Linked DNA regions of Bombyx mori. The protein of the gene in region 1 purifies or fractionates together with the protein of each later gene. This does not show direct contact. Links are inferred from orthologs where the notes say so. Each region holds a gene or a part of one and is shown on either strand. Other genes may lie near its edges.

The links.
Region 2: the proteins of DNA polymerase delta catalytic subunit (region 1) and DNA polymerase delta subunit 3 purify together in Homo sapiens (co-immunoprecipitation; 8 studies listed by BioGRID and IntAct, with this or other methods). This does not show direct contact. The link is inferred for Bombyx mori from reciprocal best matches to the Homo sapiens genes POLD1 and POLD3.

Annotation. Positions count from the first base shown.
Region 1 is NC_085116.1:10,632,044-10,636,396, forward strand, and holds the start of DNA polymerase delta catalytic subunit, read left to right. Parts: upstream 1-1,401; 5' UTR 1,402-1,549; coding exon 1,550-1,556; intron 1,557-1,621; exon of another isoform or gene 1,622-1,670; coding exon 1,671-4,353. UniProt on the Homo sapiens protein: As the catalytic component of the trimeric (Pol-delta3 complex) and tetrameric DNA polymerase delta complexes (Pol-delta4 complex), plays a crucial role in high fidelity genome replication, including in lagging strand synthesis, and repair.
Region 2 is NC_085112.1:7,020,450-7,024,882, reverse strand, and holds the start of DNA polymerase delta subunit 3, read left to right. Parts: upstream 1-1,625; 5' UTR 1,626-2,112; coding exon 2,113-3,501; 3' UTR 3,502-4,433. UniProt on the Homo sapiens protein: Accessory component of both the DNA polymerase delta complex and the DNA polymerase zeta complex.

The DNA.
Region 1 (4,353 bases):
AACGTTCTAAGTTTTTTTTTGTTTTTTCCTACCTAATCTGATAGCCTTGAGAGGCTATTTCAGCGTAACCTTAACTAGTAGGTGAGCTCACGGGGCTCAAACCGGAGTGAGTGATGACCCTAGCAAGAGCAGTGCTTCACAGAATCTACCACCGGATCGGAAACGCGATCCACTGAGAAGATCCGGCGAGAAACTCAGTGGGCTGTGTTTATGGGTTAATTCGCTCGTCGAGCCCTTCGTCGCAAGCGACAGGTTCGGCCATGACGGTGACCGGTGCTTGTGTACCTAAAAGCACCATTAATGGATCGGAAGGATCTAATGACGTGTTTTTTTTTCGGTCTACAGGGTCGGGTATATAGTTTCCAGCGGCCACGACAAGATGCTTTTTATGTCGTGCCGCCCTCTCAAAGTGCGTTCTAAGTATCGGTCACCGTTCTCTTTGAATGCGACGAAGAGTTCGCCGTACTTACAACATATCCCGCAGACCTTATCTATTGAATTTCTGGTGTAAAATGTTTTTAAGTAATGTAACTACTTCCAAGCAATTAATTAGTAGAAAATAATACTTTTCATTTAATTGTATTCTGTTACATATATTATTATAGTTTAATGTTTAGGACCTAGCATTATCTTCACTATGTTCTAAATGATTTTCTTTTTCAGTGATAATGGTCGAACGAGCACGAACAGAAGTGATTAGTATCCATTATAATAAACATACGTTTTTATAAACATAATGAATAATATACTGAAATTTTAAAACACGGGTAGGCTTCTGCAATTCAAACTTGCGCCGCATTTGCGAATACAAATAATAAATTCTAAAGATATTTCAGTCTATGTTATTCATTCTGTCGTAGAGGGCCCAAAGAGCCATCTAGTATTAAGGTGTTTACTAGAGCGTATACAAATCACCCACGTTAATGTCGCCGCCTACATAAACTGAGTCTCAACTATATTTTACAGACCTGGGATATTAAAGAGTTTCAATAGAGATCCTAAAAATAATAAATGTCTATCTTTAGTGCGTAGATCAGGTACAAAATCAGATCAGAAAAGATAATATGAAGTGAAATTAAACGAAGTTGATTAATTTGGAACATTAATCAATAGGCATGAAATGAATTGAAATGAAATGATATGGGATGAAATATAATATTAGTAAAATGGAGGTTTTTTACATCTTTTTAGTGGTCTTTTTGCAAGAGTCCTAAAAGTTATGTGCAGCCTTTATAAAAAACTATAACAGACAAATATTTTCTACATGGATACCAAGTTTCAAGTCAATCGGATGCATGGATTAGTAGTTACAACGGAACATCCATAAAAACCACTGTAGATTTAGATATTAGTATAGATTAGGCAGTATGGTATAATACCTTTGCCTTTCCAGTTGAAAAAGTAGAACTACCACTGAACTGATATTTGACAGTTCTTAAATTGAAAAAATCCCGCGTTAAATCCTACAGATTGATTGAAAAATCTTGACTTAATTACGTTAAATTTTAAAAAGTAGTGCTTACATATTATTTAAAGGTATAGAACCTCCATGTCAAGTAAGTGAAAGATTAAATTTATCTCCCGTTAATCTCAGTGCACAATTAGGTAGTTAATCTATGTTAATTACGAGGACGTAAAAGCAAGCTAAATTAAAACAATATTGTACACAGACAAAATGGACAGGAATAAAACTAAAGGTCCTCCTCCAAAGAGGTTTAAATCTGGCGACGATGACGATGAAAACGATACTCCATTTAGTTTCGAAGAACAACTGGCTTGTATGGACACTGGTGATATTGACAGCCAAGAAATATTTGAAGGTGAAGGACCTGAAAATCAATCTTCGAATATGAAATGGTCTCGTCCTCCACCGCCTATACTGACTCCAAACCGAGAAACATTAATATTTCAACAACTCGACATTGATCATTATTATGGCTCACCAATGAATGGCATGCCTGGCTCCCAATTGGCTCCCGTACCTATAATGAGGATGTACGGGATAACTTCAGAGGGAAACTCTGTTTGCTGTCATGTACATGGTTTTACACCATATTTTTATGTCACTGTACCAGTAAATTTTACAGAATCTTCTTGTAACGAAATGAAAACAAATCTTAACAAAGCAATATTAGAAGATTTAAGAGGGAATAAAGATAATATTAAAGAATGTGTCCTTGAAGTGCGTTTAGTACAGGCCAAATCAATTATGTATTACAAAGGTGATTCCAATATTACATTTGCAAGAGTTTCAGTAGCACTGCCAAAATTAATTGCTGCTGCCAAAAGACTGATCGAAAGGCAACCTCTATCTTTTGGATTGATGGATCCTCAATTTTATGAAACAAACATCGATTTTGATATACGTTTCATGGTTGATACTTCAATTGTTGGATGCAGTTGGATTGAACTACCTGTTGGGAAGTGGTTTTTAAGAACAATAGATTCAAAAGTGAAGCCTGAATCTAGATGTCAGATTGAAGTGGATGTGGCATGGAATGCTTTCATATTTCATCCACCAGAAGGAGAGTGGTCAAAAGTGGCACCATTCAGAATATTAAGTTTTGATATTGAATGTGCTGGTAGAAAAGGTATTTTCCCAGAAGCTAAACATGACCCTGTAATTCAAATTGCATCCATGGTCATAAGACAAGGTGAAACAGAACCATATTTAAGAAACGTATTTACATTGAATACATGTGCTCCTATTGTAGGTTCACAAGTACTTAGTTTTCAATCAGAGTCTGAAATGTTATCTAAGTGGTCTGATTTTTTTCGCAAATTAGATCCTGATATCATTACTGGATATAATATTAGCAATTTCGACTGGCCATATCTTATAAATCGTGCTAAACATTTAAATGTGCAAAAATTTGATTTTCTGGGACGAATAAAAAATGTAAGATCTGTTATAAAAGATACAGTCTTGCAATCGAAACAGATGGGTCGAAGAGAAAATAAAACCATTAATTTTGAAGGACGAGTTCCTTTTGATTTATTGTTGGTATTAGTTCGTGATTACAAATTAAGGTCATATACTCTGAATGCTGTCAGTTACCATTTCCTTCAAGAGCAGAAAGAAGATGTGCATCACAGTATAATCACAGATTTACAAAATGAAAGTGAACAAACCAGAAGGAGATTGGCAATGTACTGTCTTAAAGATGCTTACCTCCCACTAAAACTTTTAAACAAATTAATGTGTATCATTAATCACATGGAAATGGCTAGAGTTACTGGTGTTCCTTTACTTTGTTTACTAACAAGAGGGCAACAAATAAAAGTTGTCAGTCAGCTACTACGCAAAGCAAAAGAAGCTGGATATTTAATGCCAGTATACCATAGCCAAGGTTCTGATGATCAGTATGAAGGAGCCACAGTTATTGAACCCAAAAGAGGATACTATGCCGACCCTATTTCAACCTTAGATTTTGCATCTTTGTACCCGAGCATCATGATGGCACATAATTTATGTTATACAACTTTAGTTCCCCCTAATGCTCAAAACCAATTTAATGTTGCTGACAATGATGTTACTATAACACCTTCAAAAAACATGTTTGTAAAAAATCACATCAGAAAGGGCCTACTACCAGAAATTCTAGAATCACTACTCGCAGCAAGAAAAAAAGCAAAGGCAGACTTGAAGGATGAAAAAGACCCATTTAAAAGGTCAGTTCTGGATGGTAGACAACTGGCTTTGAAAATAAGTGCAAACTCTGTTTATGGATTTACAGGTGCTCAAGTAGGAAAATTACCATGCTTAGAAATATCTGGTAGTGTCACTGCTTATGGCAGAACTATGATTGAATTCACTAAGTCAGAAGTAGAAAAGAAATACACTAAAGCTAATGGATATAAAGAAGATGCTGTTGTTATATATGGAGATACTGATTCTGTAATGGTTAAGTTTGGAGTGAAAACTCTTGAAGAGAGTATGGAATTAGGAAAAGAAGCAGCTGAATTTGTTACAGCAAAGTTTGTAAAACCTATAAAATTAGAATTTGAGAAAGTATACTACCCATACTTACTCATTAATAAGAAACGATATGCTGGCCTTTATTTTACTAGACCAGATAAATATGACAAAATGGATTGCAAGGGTATTGAAACTGTTCGAAGAGACAATTGTCCTCTTGTTTCTAATGTAATGAGCACTTGTTTACAGAAGTTGCTCATAGACAGAGACCCAGATGGAGCTATTAATTATGCTAAACAAATTATAGCTGATTTATTATGCAATCGAATTGATATATCACAACTTGTTATTACTAAAGAACTCACAAAAAATGATTATGCTGCTAAACAGGCTCATGTAGAACTTGCTAAGAAAATGAAAAAGCGTGATGAGGG
Region 2 (4,433 bases), on another chromosome or scaffold:
TAGGAAAAAAATTAGACATTATCATAAAAAAAAGTGTAAACCTAAATGTAAAGCGAAAGAGAACACATAGTTGAAATTGAGTTTTTTATGTCGATGTACATAGTTCTTGCGTACTATTTTAATGTTTATATCTGAACATACTATTTACTTAAGTAAAAACTATTTAGTCTGTGTCTTAAATATTAATAGTATATTATCTGGACTTTTAGACTATGCCTATGGTGGCAGGACCTCTTGTGAGTCCGCGCGGATAGGTACCACCACCCTGCCTACTTCTGCCGTGAAGCAGTAATGCGTTTCGGTTTGAAAGGTTGGGCAGCCGCTATAACTATACTTGAGAACTTAGACTTATATCTCAAGGTGGGTGGCGCATTTACGTTATAGATACCTATTTATGGGCTTCAGTAACCACTTAATACCAAGTAAGCTGTGAGCTCATCTAACCATGTAAGGAATAAAAAAAAAACTTTTCGGCGGGAAGGCGAGGAGTGGAGTTGTGTGATTTGTTTTATTTTGTCTATTTAGTGTTTCTTCAGATTTAAATGTGTAATAACGGTGGTTTATTAACTGTTTAATATCTGTCAAAGGGCACAAATGTGGAAAAATGAAACAAAGCCGCTAGACGTAGCTTCTCGGGATCCTCCAAAAAGTCCACTGAAAACGTCTCAGTAAATGAACACCATTTTACCGAGATTATATTTCATCTCATATCATCTTATATCTTTTCATTTCGTGCCATACCATGTTTTATATTAATCAACTTCATTTCATTTCACTTCATATTATCATTTTTCATAAAATTAAGAATATAAATTAAAATAAGACATGACTTAAAGGTCTTAGTTAACAGGTCATAAAATCTCTTAAAAAAAAAAAAACTTCAGAGTAGACGTGCGCTAATCATGTTCGGAACTGGATTGAACATGACATCGTTCTTTTGAGTGTCGGAACTAGTTCCAGTAAACATGTTCGCGGAACTGTTTAGTTTCACGAACATGTTAAGTCTAGTAGCTGTTTGTAGTTTGTAGCTGTTTAGTTCCGCGGACATATTAAGTCTAGTAGCTGTTTGAAGCTGTTTAGTTCCGCGGACATGTTAAGTCTAGTAGCTGTTTGTAGTGTAGTGAATCACGTATTAAGTTATTATTAATTACACAATATTTTTCAAAAAAGGTATTAAAAAAACAATTTTTTAAAAGCACTATATAAAAATAGATTGCCGCTTATGGCAATTATTATTGTAATTATTATTTTGTAAGGTTTTTAGTTTTAGGTTCATTGTTACAGCTGGTTGCATAATTTATTAATGTACTGTAATTACTTTGTCATAATTTCAACTACTCTACTACTTTCATTATTTTTCAATGTAGGTATTGTACGATGCACCGAAAACTATAACCTATCAGTTGTTAATTAAAATACCACGTTATTCTGATATACAACGTAAATTGAGCTCGTTGTAGCCTTACAACCTTTTTCCCATAACCGAGATACCGAATAGCGAAAGTGGTGAATGTTTTAAAATTCTCGAATTTTGAATTATGATTTTCTAAGAAATGGTCTACAAACACTTAAGGTTAAGTGCTCGTAGGAATGATGCATGGTCAAGGTCAAAATCCATAGCAAAACATTTTAATTTAATCAACTATCGACTGTAACACGTAGGTCGTAGAGCATAACTTCAATATTAATAAAAATGTAATATGAAAGAGCTCCACACGCAGTTTCATGCACTCGCTCCATCTCACTCTCTCGTATTCGTGCCATATGTCGCCTTATCTCTTTACGTGGACTCGTGTCGGTTCGAGACTCGTTCGGGTGGACTCGCCGCGCCACGCCTCCGCGCCGCGCGGTACCTATGCTCTAATCATGTCCGCATGTCCGTCATGTTCAACGCGTTCGTAGTTCCTGCATAACAGTACACTTGGAATGGAAATGGAACTGTCTGAACATGTTAATTTTGACAAGTCGGATTGAATGATATAGTTCCATATGAGGACATAGTTCCAGGAACTATTTAGTTCCGGAACTACGCATGTCTACTTCAGAGTTCAGAAAAGAATTGATAGGTAACTTAAATTAACTGTTTACTGTTTGAATGAATTTGTATTTATAATGGATGAAAATAAGTCAGAGAGCTTAAATTCTATAAAGAACATAATCTTAGATGAGCGGCGTTTAGTGACATACACATCCATTAGTAAAGAATTGTGCATTCATGTAAATAAGGCGAAAATATTTTTGAGAGAATTTGTTGATGAATTGAGAAAGAACAAGCCGAATGTTGGTCTTTCAGTCAGCTACATTATCTCGGGATCCTTAAAAAACAATAAACTTCTAACTATTCTTGTACTAGAAGAAGAATTAGTAAGCGTGAAAGACAAATTCAGTACAATATTCTTTGAGCATATTTATAGTGTATGCTACGGCCATTGTACAAGTATAGATAAATCAGCATTTATAGCTATAAACACCTTCGAAGATTATTTGTTATGTAAAGGTACAGTCAAAAACAATATTTGTTCAAAGAGATCTTATGAAGAAATAGGCACTTTAAAATTTAAGAGCCAGGAAGTACCCGAGAAAAATCTGAAAAACTCCATAAAGAAAGATTCGAAAAACAGTATTAAAGAAGAAAATCACAATACACAGAATGAAGTGAAAACTATTAAAGATCATGATAAGAAAACAGATCCTGTAAAATCTGAAATTCCATCACCAAAGTACAATTCTGTTACTAACAATAAATCTCTTGATAAAAAAAGTAATGGAAAGTCTAATGGGAATATAATGGGATTTTTATCAAAAACACCAAATGTTAAAATGGATATTAACAAGAAAGATAAGGGAGATATTGAAAACAAAACAAAAATAACAAAAAAATTTGATAGAGAAGAAACAAACATTGATGATAGCTCTAAAACCAATGGAACTGAAATTAAATTGACAGAGAAGAAGTCAGTAAATAGTATAATCGCACAAAAAAATGAAGCATCAACTCAAAAAAAAGACATCAAAGTGGAGAAAATAGATATTGAAGTTAAAGTAAGAAATAAAAAAACTAACCAGGGGAATTCTTTTGGAAAGAAACGCAAAAGAGTATTGCATGTTTCTGATAGTGATAGTGATTGTGAAAAATCAGATTCATTGGCAGATGAAATTACTTTGGAACGTGAATCTGAAGATGAAATTCCACCAACTCCATCAGCTACCATTGTTACCATAACACCTGGGCTTGTTAATGCAAAAAAGAGGAGAAAAATCATAGATAAAACTTATACAGATGAAGAAGGATTTATGTTAACCAAAAAAGAAGAAATTTATGAGAGTTGTTCAGATGATGAAGTGCATACAAAAGAGAATGTTGATATTAAAAAACAAGTCACCGTTGAAACCACTGCTCTGAAAAATGTGCCAATAAAGCAATCAAAAAAAAAGTCTTCTCCATCACAAAAACATAAACAACCAACCATGATGAACTTCTTTAAAAAAGTACCAAATTAAATACCATCCTATGTAACCAAATCATGGAATAAAATAATTATACCATCAAGATATAGTGGATGCCAGTTCAATTGTTTTAATAAGGATCCAATTCTCTACGTACATTTATATACTTACAGAATGTAATAGGTTAACCTTCAATAAGCGCAGTTGGCATTATAATTTCTAAAGTTTGTTTAGGTAAATGGAAATAGGGAAGACAAGGTTGAGATAATTCTGCTATCAAATACTCAGTATTTATATAAAAAAGAAAGATAAATCAGTTCAGTGCAATATTTTCCCAGTTACACTGAAAATTTCCTTTTTTAATTTAGTAACTAGTGATGAGCTTTTGTAATATTGTTATCATTAAAAACAATCAGGAAAATTTTTACAAGTTCCACTTTTATACTAAAAAATGACAACAACAAAAGTATAAGTAGGTAGCAAAATTTTAATCTTATTGCTAGTGATGATGTTCTGACTTTGAACAGCAAGTTAGGATCGCTAATACTTACGAGTCATTAATTTCATTATTTCATGCCAATAATTTCCAACAGTTGTAAACCAAATATTAAACAAAAAAAAATATTGCACATACCGACATAATATATTCATGTACAGATATAGTTTGATCCCTCCTGGCTGAGCCCTTGCTTACCTACCTATCCTGGTGAAACTAGGAAAGCCTCCGAGAGAACAGTAATCTTTCAATCGCAAAAAAAAAATGTTTGACAGCTTTGTTAAGGATTATCGAATGTGATCTGAATCAGATAATGTAGATGATTGTAACATCATTATTTTTATACATTTTGATATTATGTTTTCGAATCTTTGCACCCTTGAATTTATTACAGTTACGCTATATATCTGTATAGCCTGTAATTCTGTGGATGGAAGGATTCTTTAAGAACTTATTACACTTGTTTTATGTCATTAACTTTACTGAATTC